Linked DNA regions of Neodiprion lecontei. The protein of the gene in region 1 purifies or fractionates together with the protein of each later gene. This does not show direct contact. Links are inferred from orthologs where the notes say so. Each region holds a gene or a part of one and is shown on either strand. Other genes may lie near its edges. The genes, in order: cyclin-H and general transcription and DNA repair factor IIH helicase subunit XPD.

Region 1 (8,326 bases):
ATCATTTTTCTTACTTTATTCAATCGCATTTTTTAAGACGAAAATGTCATAATAGGTTTTTGTCGCATATCCTATTCCATTATTCAGTCTTTCAGCGTTCAATTGGAAAAGAAAAAAACTCTCTACGACAAACAGTCCTCTAGCAACGGTGACTTCAAGTTCTGGGGTGCGCGTAACCCGTATGTAGAGTATTTGTTTCATACAGATAGTCTAGGGTCCTAGGGTTAAACAACTTCTGGGCCATGTAGTAGACACTTCAAGAAGTACCTAACCCAGAATTTTTTCAGATTTTTTCAAAGCCTATAAAACTCCAAAAACTTCCCTAAAAGATTCAGTGTTCACACCAAGGACTAAATCGGCCAGTGAGGCGCTTTCGGAAAAAACAGAGTTGGCTGTTGATATGCTGTCGGAAGATGACGAAGAGGAAGATTATGTAGAAATGATGTACGATTCGGACTCAGAGGGGGATGGAAATGATAAACCTCGGGCTGGATAAAAAGTAAGACGTGCCATTTGTCCACGACCAGCCGACCGAAAAGTAAAAACTTTCTACGAAAACTGTAACCGACCTGTCTGTGACGAGCACAGTTCAATCTTTTGTGAAATTTGTGCCACTATAAACCGATCGGTATACCATTAAGCCTCGATGGTTATTTTCTATATTTATAAAAATTATTTGTTGAATAAAAAATTCATTCAAAGTTGAAAAAAAGATGCAATATGTAATTTTTCATTGACTTCACCCATTTACGGCTTTTTGTTATTTTCAGTTTTCGGATAAATAAATAATTATACTTTTTGAAAAAAATGAATCGATACACCATTTCATCTCAAGGCTCAGTGTACTCCCTTTCAAATCCCGTTGGAGTTTTGGAAATCGGTTAATTAGAAAAAGAATGAGACTATTTTGACTGAAAAAAGTCATTTTTAGCTCTTCACCGCCCTTTTTTTTTTTTGCTTTAAACAAGTTCTTCTCGTTTTCATCTCAAAGGAAAGGGATTTTAATATATACCTTCGTGTTTCTGATTAAAAAACGACGAAAATGATGCATAATAAACCTATCTTATTGGAACTAGAAAGGCTTGTATTGTTTGGAAACGCTTGGGGTACTCCGATGCCCCAGTTACCCCGTAGAAAGTATAAAAATTAGGTTGCCCCGTCTAGGGTTAAAAAATGCAGAATTCTCTAACGTTTTTCCACAAAACATAGGTAATGTGGAGCAGCTTTTATGACGAAAAGCTCCAGAAGTTCCGCACCTTGAATATATAAATTTGGATCTAAAAAGCACATAGTATTGCTTAGTTTCACACAAATACTTAGAAATTGAACGATACCATTTTAGACGGTTAGCTTAACTGAATTTACGAAGCTCAGCTGAAGTTTGAAAACGATTTATAGAAAAAGTACGTTTTTCTTTATAGTCCATCATAATTCTTTGATTTTTCCCGGTCTTTTTCCAATATACGAAATTCCCTGACTATTCCCGGGTTTCCCAGTCTGTCGCCACCCTATCATTTCAACTGCGAACTAAGGAGATACGTGGTTATGTAATCTTTGTGGCTGTTTCAGTACCAAAAGCCACGGTGGACTTAGGTTTCGATTTTCTAAATTGGAAACTTCAGGTGTTGATTACACATTTGAAATAAAAATGTAGTAATTGGATGATAAGCAAAACACGGGTGTTGTAGCGTAGCGTTAAATTTTACAGTGTTATTTGAGAAATCTTCAAGCAGATAAAGCAATCAAGTAAATAGTTTTGTACGCCGATTGCACCGGATACTCAGATTCCAATTAACTGATTCATTAGGACAACGTAAATTGAACATTGTTTTCCTCTACCTAAGGTACTCCGAATAATTCGCATATTTGTTATCCATTAGTTTGTATATGGGGCATTCCACGTCAACTTCGTCAACCGAAAAAAAAATGTTTCAAAATTTTCAAAAATAATATACTTGATGGAATTTTGATTTTTTTATTTGAACATCAGTTACGACAGCTTAAACGTCGCGGAAAATATCTGCAAAACATTTTTTTTTCAAACACTTGAATTCAAGACGAATCGAAACACCACCTTACTGTTTTTGATACGATTGTTCAATTTGGAGGTATCATCGATTAAAAGTTCGTAAATTTTTGAATATCGTAAAATTTAGGCTTGCAAGAACTCCGGAACGGAGGCTCCGAAAATTTTTAAATAAATCAGAGACACCACTTTCGCATGGTATAACAAAATCCTAGAAGAATGAAATCAAAGGTAGTGAGGCCTGGAGGTGGCTGACTTGACGTGGAATGCCCCATACACGCGTTTCGGCCAGCTGATTTACATTAGTTTACGATTTAGTGAAAAATCATTGCTTTGGGTACGAACATATTTTATAAGGTACTGGAGATATTGGAAGCTTATAATTACAAAATGAATACCTATGTACTACGCCCCGAGATTGTAGTCGTTAGAGATGCACAATTTTTGACAGTAACTGAGAAACAATTATTCTATTTTGTTTCTAGTTTTTTTTATTTTACTGTCTTTAATAGCACATTATGTGATAAAGAAATAATAGTCTTTATAGCCGTATTGCATATAGGACTTTATTCCGGACTTGACTGTCGCAACTTTATTGACTTTAAAAGTTGAAACCGCATTTAAGGGAAAAACAAGGGAACAAAAAAAAAAAAAAATTTGCGGAGAAAAGTACAAGAGGGAATGATAAGCTACTTTTGTCGGCCTTTGCAGGTCAATAAAGTGGCCATTACGGTTAAGTTAGGAATAAAGTTTTATTGCTGCCTGAGTCTACTTCAAAATTGAAATTAAGGGGATATCCAGTTGTGATACAGTTTATAATTCTTCAAGGATTTCAATTTTCAAAAACACTATTTTCATCTACAAAAATAAAGTGGTGTTCATTGCTTTTAAGTATTGTATATGTTATGAAATATAGACTTTATTGAGAGCTTCGCTAGTTTTTATTTATATAGCAGAATTTTACCTTCAGAGTCTAGTTGTAAAAGAAAGTTAATAGTACAAAATTCAAGAAACTAGATTCATTTTACAAGTTTTAGAGAATTATCAACTTTATCATGTCGCTAGACACCCAAAATGATTAAAACATGGGGTGGAAAATGTTAAACTGTTGTCTTGAACATTATGAGTGACACTGTCGAATACAATTGAATCATATGGGTTCAATCAGGATTTGCAGTGAATACTCAAATTTTGTAGATCACTTTTCGTAATTTCAAAGAAATGAAAACAAGATGTAGCACAAAAGAAGCAAGATATGCTAGTGCAACTGACTGAATATGAAACGATGATAAGTGTGAAATATCACACAGTCCTCTACGCCCTGTGCTTAAAGATTACTTATTTTCGTAAGTTGAAGTCTTTTGAGAAATTTAGTGGCAAACCTTTCGATGCTACAACGCCGATGGAGATAGAGATTTACTCACGCCCAATACTTTCTCGTCATGCTCTGCTTGGTCTTGAATGATTTTTGCGTATTTTTCATTATCCCGTAAATCATCCTCGTCCAGCATGTCCTGCATTCTTTGTTTGTAACTGAAAAAGTTAAGTAAAGGTACACAGTTAAGTGAAGAAGTAAAATGTAATAACTTAAGTAGCACAATTAGATGTTTCGAACTGGCATTTGGTACTTGAATTTGAAGACCAGCCTTACGTGCGGAAAAAATGTTTGGCAAAAATTCGTGAATGCAAGGCTTACATTTCACTGTCTGGATTATTCGCTTGATTTCGGCACTTGTCCAGTTTCTTCTCGAGAGACCGGACCACTTCTCTTGTTGGAGGCTCAACACACTTGGCCATTGATCTTATTTCTGAAAATTTAATATGACATAGTTACAATCGGTGATAATGTGTCAGAAGAAAAATGACGAAGATGATGAAACATCCCCAAAAACGATTATGATCGACTTACTTCTAACAGCCTCGATGATTCCTGGCAAATGTTCCCTCGAGAACAGTGTGTCTGTTACGTAATTGTCTAGATTAGCAGCAGCTCTCGACGCTGCGTGCAAGGTGGCAGCCAAAGCAATTTGACTCGGAGCGTAAATCAGAATACTATCTGTGAGAAACACTCTTTCAAGAAAATCGTCGATATGCGGTCTGAGCTTCTCTGGATTTTCAAGTGATGTGCATCTGGTCTAAAAACACAGGAAAAATTAATAGAAAATTACAAAAGGCTCGATATGATCTTGATGAGTGAACCATGAATAGCAGAAATAAGGGCTTAAGTTAAAACTGAATTGTCAAGAGAAATTTACAAAATAAGAGATAAAAATTTCAGCCAATGATTCTGCAGCTTGGAAAATAAGTAGATTCCCTTCGTAAGCTACACTCACCTTTATATCGATCATCAAGCCCTCTACAGGCCTGAAAGGATTATGGACAGTCAGGTTATAGTTGAGCTGCTGCATGAGTAACAATTCGTTGTTTAAAATGATGTCTGATGCCTTTTCTCTGTCTCCTTTGATATTCGCTACGAACTGGGATATTGAGACATTGAATTCTTCTACCTAAGAAAGAGAATTGAAAAAATAATAAAATCTGGAAACAGTTGAAGTTTTGTTCATCGCAATAAAAAAAAGTTAATTGCAAGTCATCTCTGCAAGTATGTTAAATTGTATTCATATTACAAATACTTGCCTTGCAGCCAAGGTAGACGCACGTGACAAGGATTTCCTTAGGATGGTAATCCATAACGCTGTTCCTTAAATAGAACCTCTTGAAGTAGTGAAGCGCAGTTGCTACGGTAGGTCTTGGCATGGGCGGAACAAATCTGCGACAGAAGTCTCGGAGTTGTAATTCATAGAATTTGAGTAATATCCGTTCTTCCGAAGTCGTTAGGAAATGCTCCTCTCTTTGATCGCGCTGTACGAGTGGAAAGAACGAACCATTTTTCAAAGACAAAGTATTACTCCTTGACGGAAACGCAAATGTATGGGACAACATTTACACAGAGCATGCCGATCGAATATTAGGCAAGAATTTTTATGTCCGTATAAATATCAGTCTTCTTCCCACAAACGGTGAAGACATTTTTACCGCCATTATTTGGCGTCCCCAAGTTTATAGGTATTTAATCAACAAACTGCGTGAGCATTTATGTACGATCAAAGATTCAAAATAGCGTGTTCTCCAGTACACGTTGTGTATAATTAAAATTCTCAAATAAATTTATCCACCGGGTAACACCGTAATTGCTTTGCAATCGCGCGGAATGTTCATCACGTAATTGATACGTATGTCAAAATAAAAGACGATTAGAGAGTACGGAGATTTGCTTGCGAAAGATGGAATATTTTCGATTGGTGAATCAAATGTTAAAACGCACGCTGTTCGAAGCTGATATAATTATCCATAACTTTGTATGAACTGGCTTTTGTCGAGTAATTTCTTTCGAATTGACAAAACACGCTTTTTGGGTTATAGCTATAGATATATCGATTGGGAGATAGAATAAACTGGAATAAACACTCACCGGCACGTTCACGCCATGCTTCTCGATGAATTCCGAGTTAGTCTTCTCGCGAAGTTCCGTGATGTCATTTTCATCACTGAATATCCAGTACATCTTTTGAGAGCTCATTGGAAACATTTTCAATATATTTAATATCGCGTGAGCAGCTGAATCGCACCGTAAAAGACTCCCTAATCAGATACCCTGCGACGAACGTCTTTGTCCTCCAATGCCTTCCTACCGCTTCCTGTTGCGCTGCTCACTAGTGCTCACTGAGCAATGGCGTCAAATGAGACTCCTGCTCACTGGTCAGTTTCAGCTACTTCGTGGTTTCAGCAATCAGCAATGGCCGCTGGGGCTTGGCGGTAAACTTGAATACGCCGGGTACTGTCATCACGCTGCCAGGTTTGGCATATGCCGTTGACTGATAGTCTTCAGTCAACGCATATGCGTTGTATATCTGAAATATATATTGTTTTATATTGAAAGAATATACTTCAGCCAATGTATTTCTGTACTAGATAACGCTGCGGAGGCGCGGGAGGATTTGAAATTTTCTTATTATTAAAACTTTATAATACATGCGAATAAAGTTACAAATGAAATTACTATCGCCTGAATAAAACTAAATAGTTTAAAAAATAGCGAATGGATAGCTATATGAAAGAAAACCTTTAATACACCACCGATCGAATTGAAACTACTTATTGGGTTGAGCAAAGAAAATGTGCGAACAAATCATGAATCGGTACAGGAACATTTAAATTTCGATGGAAGAAACTTATCATCTTTTTGATATTAATGTTCAGGGAAATCTCCAATAGCTTATACAAATGACACAAAGTGTTTAATTTGTATCGGTATAGTAGCGTTCCTGCAGGTGTTTCATATAAAGCTGGTCAATTGGTGTTGCTTCAAAGACTTCACGAAGCTACGGATAGAGCTCGCTACTCTGCAGTGCAGTCGGTTATAAAAATCCTTGGATTCCGAGTATATCGAGAAGTTAGGGAATATTACGGGAATAAATTAATCACAATCATGAACACTGATATCGTTATGCGATACTTCATACATGTAGAGTATAATTAATATTCCGTTGGTAGAACGATATATTTCGCGCGTTGTTGGATTTCAAGTTCTCGAAATGAGCTGAATTATCCCGCAGGTGGATGTCATGGTATATAAATTAGGCCTAATTCATCGAGCAAAAGTTGTAATAAAGCAGTTTTTAATATGTCGCATTAAATGTCCCATGTTATAAGTCGAAGGCTGTTTTCGGGTAAACAATCGCTATACGTTGCGTTGCCTATTGTCTGCAATTTTGAGCAAAGTCGTCACTATCGTCTTAATTAACGAATATGACTTCTATTATGTACTAAAAACGACTCGATGTGTAATTAACGACTATACTCACGATGAGAGTCTTAAGAAGAGTGTTCAAATTGCGATTTATCTTTTCGCGGTATTGCATAAATAATATTCATGTTTGATATTAAATGCTACTTGTTCGTCTCGCAATAATTGACCTCGTTGACCTTTTCTTTTTATGAAAGTATGACTGACGAATTTACGGCGGCTGATATCATGTCGTATAATCGACTAAAGCGATTATGAATTGCAAGTCACCGCTTGATTACTGGTTGTAAGCTCGAATTGTGTTTGTATCACATTTGACCCTGTCGGCAGGTGTTACATCCCAACCCCGTCTTAATTAGTATCGACAGTTGGGGAAACCTTCAAGAACTCATCGGGGTCATCCGACTTCCGGGGGAATAATAAAAATTCATTCGCGTAACGAGCCGAGTTTTGCAAAGTAAATTTCAATCCATATGCACGCCTCCCATTCCCAAATCGCGAATCGCCAATCTCAAAACGCTCTTCTGCGGAAGGCGGTCTTGGCACCTTTCGTTAGTCACGGTTGTTGTGATCTTATCGCAGCCGAACGAATCTCAATCTGATTGTCGGATACAGACCTTTTACTCGTCGGAGTTTACCTGCTGCTTTAAACTCGTAAATGCCCACGTGTAATAGTTGCAAGGATGTCGAATGGTCCGTCAGGCTGTGCGTGAAGTCTAACATTAGACATTAGAGGCTGACTGCAGCAATATCGCGACATATTATATATCGGTCGAATTCTGTAATTTTCTCACGGTCAAATCGACAACGTCGCAGAGCTTCAACGTAATAAAAATCATACTCGATACTGTATAAATTATGAATTATTTGAAGCGTTTCTTCGACTCGGGAGATTCCAAGAAAGAAAAATGATCGAGCTCAGTTTTATAGTGGTTAGCTGTTAACGGTGTAGCTCGAGATTCGAAAGCATTACCGACGGCAAGTCAGAAACTCCGCCTCGGCCGACGCCGGCTTAACAATCAACGGCTGCGGCGCCTCACGCTAAATCCAACTGATGCACCTTTGGCGTGCACCTTGGCCACGATTGGAATTATTCTTTCCCTGATGGAAGCTAATGACGGTGCTTCTGCCAAAGAAGTTCAATTCTAGTGCTCGATCGATAGTCCTAGACACAGGCACAACGCCCTCTTCGATGGCCTTTGAAACGGTTCTGCAGAAATTACTTTCCAGGTAGCAAGTTTTTCTTGAAAACTTGCATGTTTCTCGGAATCACGATGCTCAAATGTAATTATGATTTACATTTACTGTGCAAAATTTCATTCGATGCGACAAAATACGGGATATGTGTCAGATACCGTTGAAAATTATTGTGAATTTACTAGACATTTACTGTACAAAAGAATTGTCAATTTACGAAATTAGACAACAAATTTACAAATTCGGTGCAGTAACGTAAATTACTATGCGTTTGTCTTAAGTTTACAAGGAAAATT
Region 2 (10,157 bases), on another chromosome or scaffold:
GTATGGTTGACATGATATTACAAGCAATACAACGCAATATAATATAATTTAATAATATATGTACTCCAAGGCTCCTTGAAAAAACTTACGTTTGTAATTTGTAATCCAGCACAACATATCATTATCACAGACGTAAGAAATAGTACAAGTAATATCCATGTATGTATATCATTTATATCACGTATTGAACTATGAAGAAAATACTTGTATAATGTTTTGAAATAATCATGAAAAGGTAATACGAATTACACAAAGTTCCACTCACTTGAAAACTTGACAATGCAGGTCCACTAATTTTTTAATTTTTTTGCTGTACGCCACAATAAGTTCATCATTAGATTCATTTTTTCCATGATTTTCTTCATATTTCATCGACTCCATATCTGGCTGCTTCAAACTTTTTAGTATATCTTGCATGACTTTGTATCGTGCACAGCAACAAAATACAAGGAGACCAAAGGTCACATCAACTCCGGAGCAAAGCCAAGACATGACAATGACGCACAGTTGATGCAAATAAGCAATACTATAATGAAGGGTTGACTGTTTGTAATCGAAAGGATACCATGCTGTTATTGGCAGATCTTTGTCAGCCTTAAAGAATGGTACCAGACAATAATCTGTAGCCAGTAGGAATATTGTGGTTGTGTATGTAAAATAAACGAGGTTACAAGTACTCGCGTATCCCTCAAGATGTTTTCTCAGGCATGGAGAACCGTTCTTTATCATATGATTTACATCCATCAAGAGTTTGCATAATTTCTCTTTATGAATTCTGTACATTACCACCTTGATCGTTAATTGTAGAAATGCGAGCTGCAGAAAAGATGAACTTGTAAATGTGGTATATCTTACAATGAGTGATTCGATACGTTACCTGTGTACTGACATGCTCGGCGATAAACTGCGAACTTATTGAATTCTGATAAACATACACCAAAATTTGGAAAAACATTAAAGTAGCAGCAAAAAAGATTAGCATAAAGTGAGCGAGGCTTATCGTTTTTGTGACAACTGAAGCTTCCGAGGATAGCGGCCAAAACGACAATCCTCTTAAAAAAATACTTATGTACCACAGAGAAGTTTCAAGCTTGATCATAATTCTTAATGAAATTAACGAATTGACTGAGGAGAATGGAAAGAGTTCGAAATGGAAAACGGAGAACTGACCATGAGTTTTCTCAAAACTTCCAATATATTTGAGACAGCTTGAACTGTTTCTCAGATTGCGTCTTCTGGACATGCCAGGTGATGGCTGGATGAAAAATGCAAGACGAAATCATACAGTGTGAGGGTTGACTGAGAAAATTGCTGTTGTTGCAAGTCAGGAGGAAAGACCTATTATTACTGGCCTTCGGTCATCCTGAATTATAGAGGATGTAGTTGAATTCTAAAGCTTTTATACCTGTTATTTCATGTCACCTGCGTATTCATGACTATCTTACAAGTGAAAGAACTATTATTTCCGTAACAGCTCGGTGATATGAAGTTGGGATTCCCACTAGGCAGAGATGGAAACAATTATCTCCTTTACCAATCTAATACTTTTACAGTAAAAATTGTTTTATTCAATTGAGGAAAAATTGATTTTCTCAATAGAGTAAAATCAAACGTCGGAGCATTGCACATAGTATGCGAAACTACAGAATGGGAGGTCTTGAGTTCAAATGATGGGTCAGATGAATCATGTCGAACAGGTGCTGAATTGACAAGCTGAGATTTGAACTCGGCATGGCCACACTTGGGGAAGGTTTTTCACAGTTTTCCTTATCCTCTGTGTGAATGCGGATGTTTCTAATAAACATCTTAAAATGACAGCAGACACATAATAATGGTCACTAACCGATGCCTGTCTCACCCTGTATAAGCTGTCCGATTATGAGTACATACACACATATGGCGGGACTGAACGTGATTATTATTATTATGTTATAAAAGAAATTGATGTATATTGACATAATCGTTTTACAAAAAGATATCCATAACTTCATGTAAAAAATACATTACATACAAAATTATTTTTTATCAGACTGCTACTAAGATGAAAAACATGTACTTAGGAACACCAAAATTAGAAGTAACCATACTATAAAAAATATGTTTAGCAAACGTGAATGAATCATCAAACATTTTAACACACTAACTCCAGATTTCCTTGGAATAGAAACTTTTCGTAGACTTTAAACGCGTCACTTTGCCTTGTTTTGACGATGTGAATGCTTATGTAAGAAATTTATAATTGTGCTACAGATGTTAAATTCCTACTAAGTTTTTAGACTAGCTTTTTTATATGAAATTTTAGAGGCAATACAATTATCCGGATGACAATTCACTATCTGATTTCTTTCAACAAGTTTCGTGCGTCTTCCATTACTCAGGTGACCAGAAGAGCTCAAATCACTAGCTGATGGACATTGGAAATTTGCATTGCAGATGAATGACGAACGACTATTCCTCGAAGGTTGCGTCCACCGAGAATCCCTGTAGTGCCTGTGATGTTGAGAGACTTCCTCTGCACTTTGGTTATTAATCACTTTCTCCTTGTTAGAATTTATCCTCTCCTCAGCAAGCAGACTCTGAATGTTTGTTTGAGTTCGAAGCGCATGTGGCAATGACAGTTCGCGCAATTGGCATGCGACACTTTTGCCTAGCAAGTATAAATATGACAATTAGCCCATGGAGAATGTACAAAAAAACGTTAGTATTTTGCAAGAGAGTCTTTTAAACATTTCAAATTATAAGATTTTCTTACCAAAAGCATCAAATTCATCGCCATACTTTTTTTGCGACTTGTGTTTCTTGATCGAATTGGTTATGACTTGTGACTTTACTTCTGCGTTCGAAGCTCTGATTATTGAACAATCGCCAGAGGTTGAAAATGAACTGATATTCGGAATGGATTGCAAAGCTCTAGGTGTTTGCTGCCTGATAAAGTCATGTTGCGAGGCAAGATTAATTTTCTGTTTTAAAGGTACAGCATTTTTCGTCAACTTTGTTGGGGATATGTCGAGATTGAGTTGAGTTGGAAAATGTCTAACACAGCTGGGACACTGGTTTATTGGACAGCAACGTTGCGAATATAACAACGACTGGGAGGTGTGATGGTTGAATTCTTCTGGCTCACCATTATTCGCCTCAACATGTAGCGAGCTATCCTAGACATGCGAAGGTAATTTGATCAGAATAGTTATATACATAGGAATAATTTTTTTCAGTAATTGAACTTTAATCCTGGTAATAAACTAACGGCGTTAGAATCCTGTTCTGTGATATAAGCGCGTAAAAATTCGTGGATCAATTCAAACCAAGTGATTTTTGGCTTGTAGGGGAATCCCCGGAAGTTAGCATCGTTGATCTTTACCAATTCCATGCGATAGATTCGCTTTATTTGCTTTATTCTGTCGCGAACCTCGTTCACGGTCAGATCGCGAATGTTCAGGTCTCGAATTATCCCCAGGTATGCGGTGTACCGTGCCTCCAAATCATTATACGAATCACTATCGTGTTTCCACAGGCATTCGTGCCGAATGTACGATAAAACTAGTTTGTAAACTCGCGCCTCTGTCCATTCTACGGGCATTTTAACCTAGCGGAAGCTGACATTTACATCAACGTATAATGCACAATTTCGAAATACAACGAACGCGAAACGAAACGTATCGTATTACAATTCAATTTCAAAGTCTGTCACATCTAGCAAAATATCACAAACGCGGGTTAGAAATAACTAGTTAAATATTCGAAAGTATTTTCCAATGTACGAATCTGAAGTTCTGCAAATGTTTTTGTTACCAATAATTTTTACAAAACATGGGTACCCATTCCATCTTCATTTTCAACAGTGTTCTCAGTATTTCAAAAATTCTATCTAAGGTTTTCAAATATCACACAATCATACTATTTTACTGAAGCAACAGTTATAGTAGTGATGTTGTCATCTGCATTTGTAATACAGTCTTTGCATGTAATTTTTCGATACGATTTCGACTAAACTTCTCTATAGAAATCAATTTGATGCACTAATCTAATTTCATGTAGTCAAGATTCTTTGGTGCAGACTAGCTTCCAGAGATTCGCCATATCACGTATGGTAATACCCATATAAGTGGCTATGTATGTACATACATACGCTAATGTTAGAAATTGAAGTTCATTCATCCGACCAGCAGAGCAGCAAACGCAAGATGTTTTTGGCCGTGTTCGAAAATTGACTGACAGTACTGTCAGCAATCTTTCATCTCTTTTGCGCTTCCAAGTTCATGGATAGCTCTGACTCTGTCCTAGGGAATTTTCAGTACTGTCAGTCAATTTACGAACACGGCCTTTATAAGCAGTGCAGCTGCGACGTTAAATTACTAGGGGTGTATTCCGCCAGGGAACTGTGGCACACTTTGGCAGTAAATGACCAGTAAATAGTACCAACCGCTAGTTAGAAAATTCAAAATATACTATTACTGGACTGCCACAGTTTCCTTGCGGAATACACCCTAGACAGATGTTAGTAACATCTAGTAAGTTACTAAACTGCTGCTGGTTTTTGCTACTCATGAAAGTTCACCTTAATACCTCACCTAACTTAACTGTCACATTCAGAAAAAAAACTAACCTAATCTAATCCTGATACCCTGGATTCGCACGAGCGGTCGGCAACCTGACGCATGTAAGCATCGTAAACGTGAACTTTGGAGGCTATAAACAATAAGAACCAGTGAAGTAGATTTGTTATAAATGTGGCAGAAAGAAATTCGTAAACAACAAAAATGAAGTAATTATCTGGGTGTAATTTCGTTATCAAACAATAAGCAACGAGAAAGTATTCCGTATTATGAAATAAACTTGGCATCTTCTTCTTACAGAATCAGTGTCGACGGATTGATTGTGTACTTCCCCTACGATTACATTTACCCGGAACAGTATGCGTACATGTTGGAACTCAAGCGAGGTCTCGATGCTAGGGTAAATCTTGCCTTTAATAACGAGATATCACACCCCATATTAATAAGCAGCTTACAAATTCGCCTTCTTAACCTCCAAACTGCGTTTCCAAACTTCACAATTTATCTTACGATATAAATATACATTATTTTATTATTTCTCTGAAGCTTGCGAAGATTTGATCCTTCAAAATATGTTTATTCATGTAATTTAAACACTTTGAAGGAAAACTGATTCAATGATTTGCCAAGAGATTGATTCCTCCAACTGATGAGTAAACATTCTTTAAGTTAAAAAGTTTTCAATGTCTTACTTTCCATGCATATGAATAATAAAATCATTGTAATTATTTGGAAAAACAGTAGAATGCTTGTTTTTAAGTGAGGAAACTTCTAAATATTGCTCATGCTCTCATGCAGGAAGAGCTTTTTTTAAATGCCATACAACAAGCTATAAATTTATTCCTTTGTGTTTAATAACTCGCAATCAAGCTTTGTCAATTTCATGAAGGTTTAAGAATAATTCTTTGTAGTTGAGACACATTAATTAACAGAAACTTTGTTGGTCTTTCAGTGCTACTTTCATGAAATAGGCTAATCCTCCTCAAAGAATTCAATGATTAATAATTTTTAATACCATCATTTGAAAAATAATTACACGTATCAACAAGCATAGGAAAGTAAATTATTAAAAATTATCAAATCAGTTAAGGCGTCTCTAATATAATGAATATATATTCTACAGGGTCATTGCCTCTTGGAAATGCCTTCGGGTACTGGAAAAACTGTGACATTACTGTCACTGATTGTGGCTTACATGCTGCAAAACCCCTTGAAGATAACTAAATTAATATACTGCTCACGTACAGTACCGGAGATAGAGAAAGTCATAGAAGAATTAAAAAATCTTATAGAATACTATGAAAAAGAGGATGGAGTAAAGCCAAAACTTGTTGGATTGGTGCTGAGCTCTAGGAAAAACATGTGCATACATCCAGAAGTTCGTTGAGTATATTATTCATTCATTTTCTAATAACAAAGAATCAGCTGATTGATAAGATGATTATATTTTTCAGATAAGCAGGGAACGTGAAGGAAAAATTGTTGACGGTCGATGTCATTCCCTCACTGCCTCGTATATAAGAGAAAGGCATAATTACGATGAATCAACGCCAGTTTGCAGCTTTTATGAGGGATTCGATTTAGAGGGACGTGAACAGATTGTGCCTGCTGGAATTTATTCCCTGGATGACCTGAAAGAGTATGGAAGAGACAGGAATTGGTGTCCATATTTTTTGGCTAGATTTACGGTTGGTCTGTTAATTATTTAAGTTCATTGATCAATTAATTTATTAATTTATAAACCTGTTTCTTTACTCGTTCTTTTGAAAACAAAATTTTTGTTGTCATATTATTGTCACCACTTCTCTCTTCTTATTTCTTGACTTGAACAATGTATATTTTGTTTTACATAGGACTGGAACTGTTTGAATCATGTGGTCCAGTTACAGATTTGAAAACTTTTCTTTTATCTTTCAGATACTGCAAGCTCACATCGTTGTATACAGTTACCACTATCTTCTCGATCCAAAAATTGCTGAAACTGTATCTAAAGAATTGAGTAAAACATCTGTTGTAGTTTTTGACGAGGCACACAACATCGGTAATAATTTTCTATTTAATCAAACTTTTAAGAACATACGTGCATACAGCATACATGGGCATAAATTGAACACATGAAACAAATGGATATACAAACTACATCGTATTGTTAATGATATTGGGGAGCCAAAAGTGTGGCCACATCCATTGTACTTAACAGAAGATTTTCGACATTATTTTCAGACAACGTATGCATAGACTCAATGAGCGTCAAAATAAACAAAAGAATAGTTGAAAAAAGCACGGCAAATATACAAATTTTGGAGAAAACTGTGGCTGAGTAAGTTAAACCAAATCACAATTAGTTTATATAGATATTAAGTTCCAAGTTTCACACAAATTTTCTAGTTCATAAAAACCGACATTGCTCTTTGTTATTCGTTCATTTATGATTTTCAGGATGAGAGAAGACGACGTGAATAAATTAAAAGAGGAATACAGTAGATTAGTTGAAGGCCTCAAAGGTGCGCAAACGGCAAGAGAAACTGACATTATTTTGTCCAACCCAATTTTGCCAGATGAAGTACTTCAAGGTAAGTCTAACTTACATGAGTAACTTTCATCCGATAAATCAATGAAAATGTTGTGAAATGGTTATATTTTCTTTGCTTTACTTACGGTGAGATATAGCGCTGATTAAAAAATGCATGTATCTTTTTTCCAGAGGTTGTTCCTGGCAACATAAGAAATGCCGAACACTTTGTTGGATTCTTGAAGCGGTTTGTAGAATACCTAAAAACAAGGCTTCGAGTGCAGCATGTAATGCAGGAATCGCCAGCTGGATTTCTACGCGACATCCAGTCTAAAGTTTGCATAGAAAGAAAACCCCTGAAGTTTTGCGCGGAGAGATTGGCATCGCTTTTACGAACGATGGAAATTAGTGATGTTACAGATTTTTCGCCTCTGATTTTGGTCACGCACCTTGCCACTCTTGTTTCCACGTACACAAAAGGTTTCACTATCATAGTCGAACCATTCGATGATAAAACACCAACGGTTCTAAACCCAATTCTACATTTTAGCTGTCTCGATTGTTCTATTGCTATGAAACCAATATTTGACAGATTTCAGTCAGTCATTATCACCTCGGGAACACTTTCGCCCTTAGACATGTATCCAAAGATCTTAGATTTTCATCCTGTAATCATGTCGTCGTTTACCATGACTCTTGCAAGACCTTGTTTGTTACCAATGGTGAGATTTCGTCTTTGCATATTTTACAGTTAAAAAAACAATGCAGTACTTCATTCACGATGACCGTTCAATCGTTCAATTAATTTTCAGATCGTTGCCAAAGGTAATGACCAGGTAGCGATATCATCTAAATTTGAAACTAGAGAAGATGTCGCCGTGATAAGAAATTATGGACAATTATTGGTAGAATTCTCAGCAGCTGTACCAGACGGTTTAGTCTGTTTTTTCACCTCTTATTCATACATGGAATCTGTAGTTGCTGCATGGTAGGTAGTGAAGAGAATCTAGCATAATAATTGAACACATGTGTGAATTTATGATTAAAAAATATTTCGGCCCGGCCGAAACGTCGGAAACATGTGGTTTTTTAACCAAATAAATTAATTACAAAACTGACCGGATTTCGACTAAACATGATTCAATCATTAAAAAATATCGTTATGTTTTTTTTAGGTATGATCAAGGAGTAGTAGACCAACTTCAGAGGCACAAATTACTCTTCATCGAGACACAAGACTCTGCAGAAACAAGTTTGGCCTTGATGAACTACATAAAAGCATGCGAAAATGGACGTGGAGCTGTTCTATTATCCGTAGCTCGAGGCAAAGTGTCAGAGGGGGTTGATTTTGACCACCATTTAGGAAGAGCTGTTCTTATGTTCGGTATACCTTATGTTTACACTCAGTCCCGGATCTTGAAAGCCAGACTAGAATATCTACGAGATCAATTTCAAGTTAGTATCAGAAGTTTTGTCATTTTAAAAGTTATGACATACCTTGGATTAAATTTTCAGTCAGGTTTTTTCTAATCTATCAAGACATAAAATGTGCAATTTTTCTTTAAATTTCAGATAAGAGAAAATGATTTCTTAACGTTTGATGCAATGCGGCATGCCGCGCAGTGCGTTGGCCGAGCCATAAGAGGCAAAACTGACTATGGTATCATGGTGTTCGCGGACAAGGTACTGTACCTTAAAGTTTTTTATAATTCATCACAGATTGGAGTTCCTGTCGATAAATGATAGCTTCTACGTTGTTACTGAAAATGATTTGGTTTACAAACTTTTCAGCGTTTTTCAAGAGCGGACAAAAGAAGCAAATTGCCCAAATGGATTCAAGAACACCTTACAGACAGTCTTTGCAATTTATCAACAGAAGAAGCAATACAGGTTCTGAAATGACATCAATTATAATCTCCTGAAAATACTATAGATATGAAATGTAATCCTGAAGATGTTATCTTCGTATTATAATCAATAATCATCGTTAAATTCGACATCTTAATTAAAATAATTTATCGATCGTACAAAGTAAAATAAACCCGTATGTATCACAACAAATTTTTTCTAGATAAGCAAAAGGTGGTTGCGACAAATGGCTCAGCCATTTACGAGGGAAGATCAGCTCGGATTGTCTCTTTTGACTAGGGAACAATTGGAAAAGGAAGAAGCCAGCAAATTTGAGAAACAAGCACAACAAAATTAAAATGGTGCCTCATTCTTAGAGGTCTAAGAGTATAGAGTTAGAGGAATATCGGGTAAGATTAGAACACATTCTAATACCAATTTCACATTAGCCGACAGACACAATTTTACCGCTATTCGATAACTGGTTGATAAAGATGTCTTATGAAAGGTGACTTTATTTATGTATATTGTTTCTCGTTTTTTTCCTTGTACACCATGTATACTAAGAAAACATTAAATCTTGTTTGGTAAAAAAATGAATGAAAAAAACGAAAAGAACTGAAATCATAATTGCTAGGGGATAATTCAAATTCTATTCATCTTTATAAATACCTTAGTCATATTTTGTTATGAATATCGGTCCACTGTCTTGTGAACATTGAGTTGAAAAATATTTACGTTTTCTTGGTTTAGTGAGAATTCTATCTTGTATTGCATACGGATATGGGTATGTAAATATCGAACGGTGGATATATGAATGTAATATAACATTAAGTTTCATTTAAATTGTTTTTTCATGTTTTATTAAAAAAGCTTCCTTAAATAATTCACAGTTTCAGTTCACAGGAATTAGTATTCAATAAAGCACGTTAATTACATCATCATTTCGAACTTAGTTAAGTGTTGTAACCTAATTAGGTTTTCCAAATTCGCAACGTTAATTAAGAAAAATAAGTGGCACTAGCTATTAAACAAAAAAGTCTAAAGAAAATGATCGCTTAGTGAATACGATTAAGTAGATGATTTCACAGTGATGCGGATAATGTAAATTTTTTAACAGAATTCGTATCGTACGCAGTACCGATTTTTATTCTATATTCTGATCAAGAGTGCAGAAACAAAACTGAAAAGCAATTATAAGCATAAAAATGTTGAAACTTAGTGAAGCGAAATCGAGAAAT

What was found.
Region 2: the proteins of cyclin-H (region 1) and general transcription and DNA repair factor IIH helicase subunit XPD purify together in Homo sapiens (affinity purification with mass spectrometry; 3 studies listed by BioGRID and IntAct, counting the BioPlex papers as one, with this or other methods). This does not show direct contact. The link is inferred for Neodiprion lecontei from reciprocal best matches to the Homo sapiens genes CCNH and ERCC2.

The regions. Positions count from the first base shown.
Region 1 is NC_060263.1:34,017,567-34,025,892, forward strand, and holds the start of cyclin-H, read right to left. Parts: upstream 5,731-8,326; 5' UTR 5,616-5,730; coding exon 5,499-5,615; intron 4,889-5,498; coding exon 4,664-4,888; intron 4,534-4,663; coding exon 4,360-4,533; intron 4,162-4,359; coding exon 3,936-4,161; intron 3,835-3,935; coding exon 3,723-3,834; intron 3,560-3,722; coding exon 3,418-3,559; 3' UTR 3,409-3,417; exon of another isoform or gene 758-3,408; intron 1-757. UniProt on the Homo sapiens protein: Regulates CDK7, the catalytic subunit of the CDK-activating kinase (CAK) enzymatic complex. CAK activates the cyclin-associated kinases CDK1, CDK2, CDK4 and CDK6 by threonine phosphorylation.
Region 2 is NC_060266.1:18,324,474-18,334,630, reverse strand, and holds the start of general transcription and DNA repair factor IIH helicase subunit XPD, read left to right. Parts: upstream 1-3,030; 5' UTR 3,031-3,161; coding exon 3,162-3,169; intron 3,170-4,580; exon of another isoform or gene 4,581-4,760; coding exon of another isoform or gene 4,761-4,765; intron 4,766-4,856; coding exon 4,857-4,956; intron 4,957-5,679; coding exon 5,680-5,934; intron 5,935-6,010; coding exon 6,011-6,244; intron 6,245-6,473; coding exon 6,474-6,597; intron 6,598-6,779; coding exon 6,780-6,876; intron 6,877-6,995; coding exon 6,996-7,129; intron 7,130-7,260; coding exon 7,261-7,790; intron 7,791-7,880; coding exon 7,881-8,056; intron 8,057-8,243; coding exon 8,244-8,523; intron 8,524-8,640; coding exon 8,641-8,751; intron 8,752-8,859; coding exon 8,860-8,958; intron 8,959-9,139; coding exon 9,140-9,274; 3' UTR 9,275-10,157. Other genes in the region: odorant receptor 83a-like, read right to left, coding at 90-189, 266-816, 878-1,099. UniProt on the Homo sapiens protein: ATP-dependent 5'-3' DNA helicase. Component of the general transcription and DNA repair factor IIH (TFIIH) core complex, not absolutely essential for minimal transcription in vitro.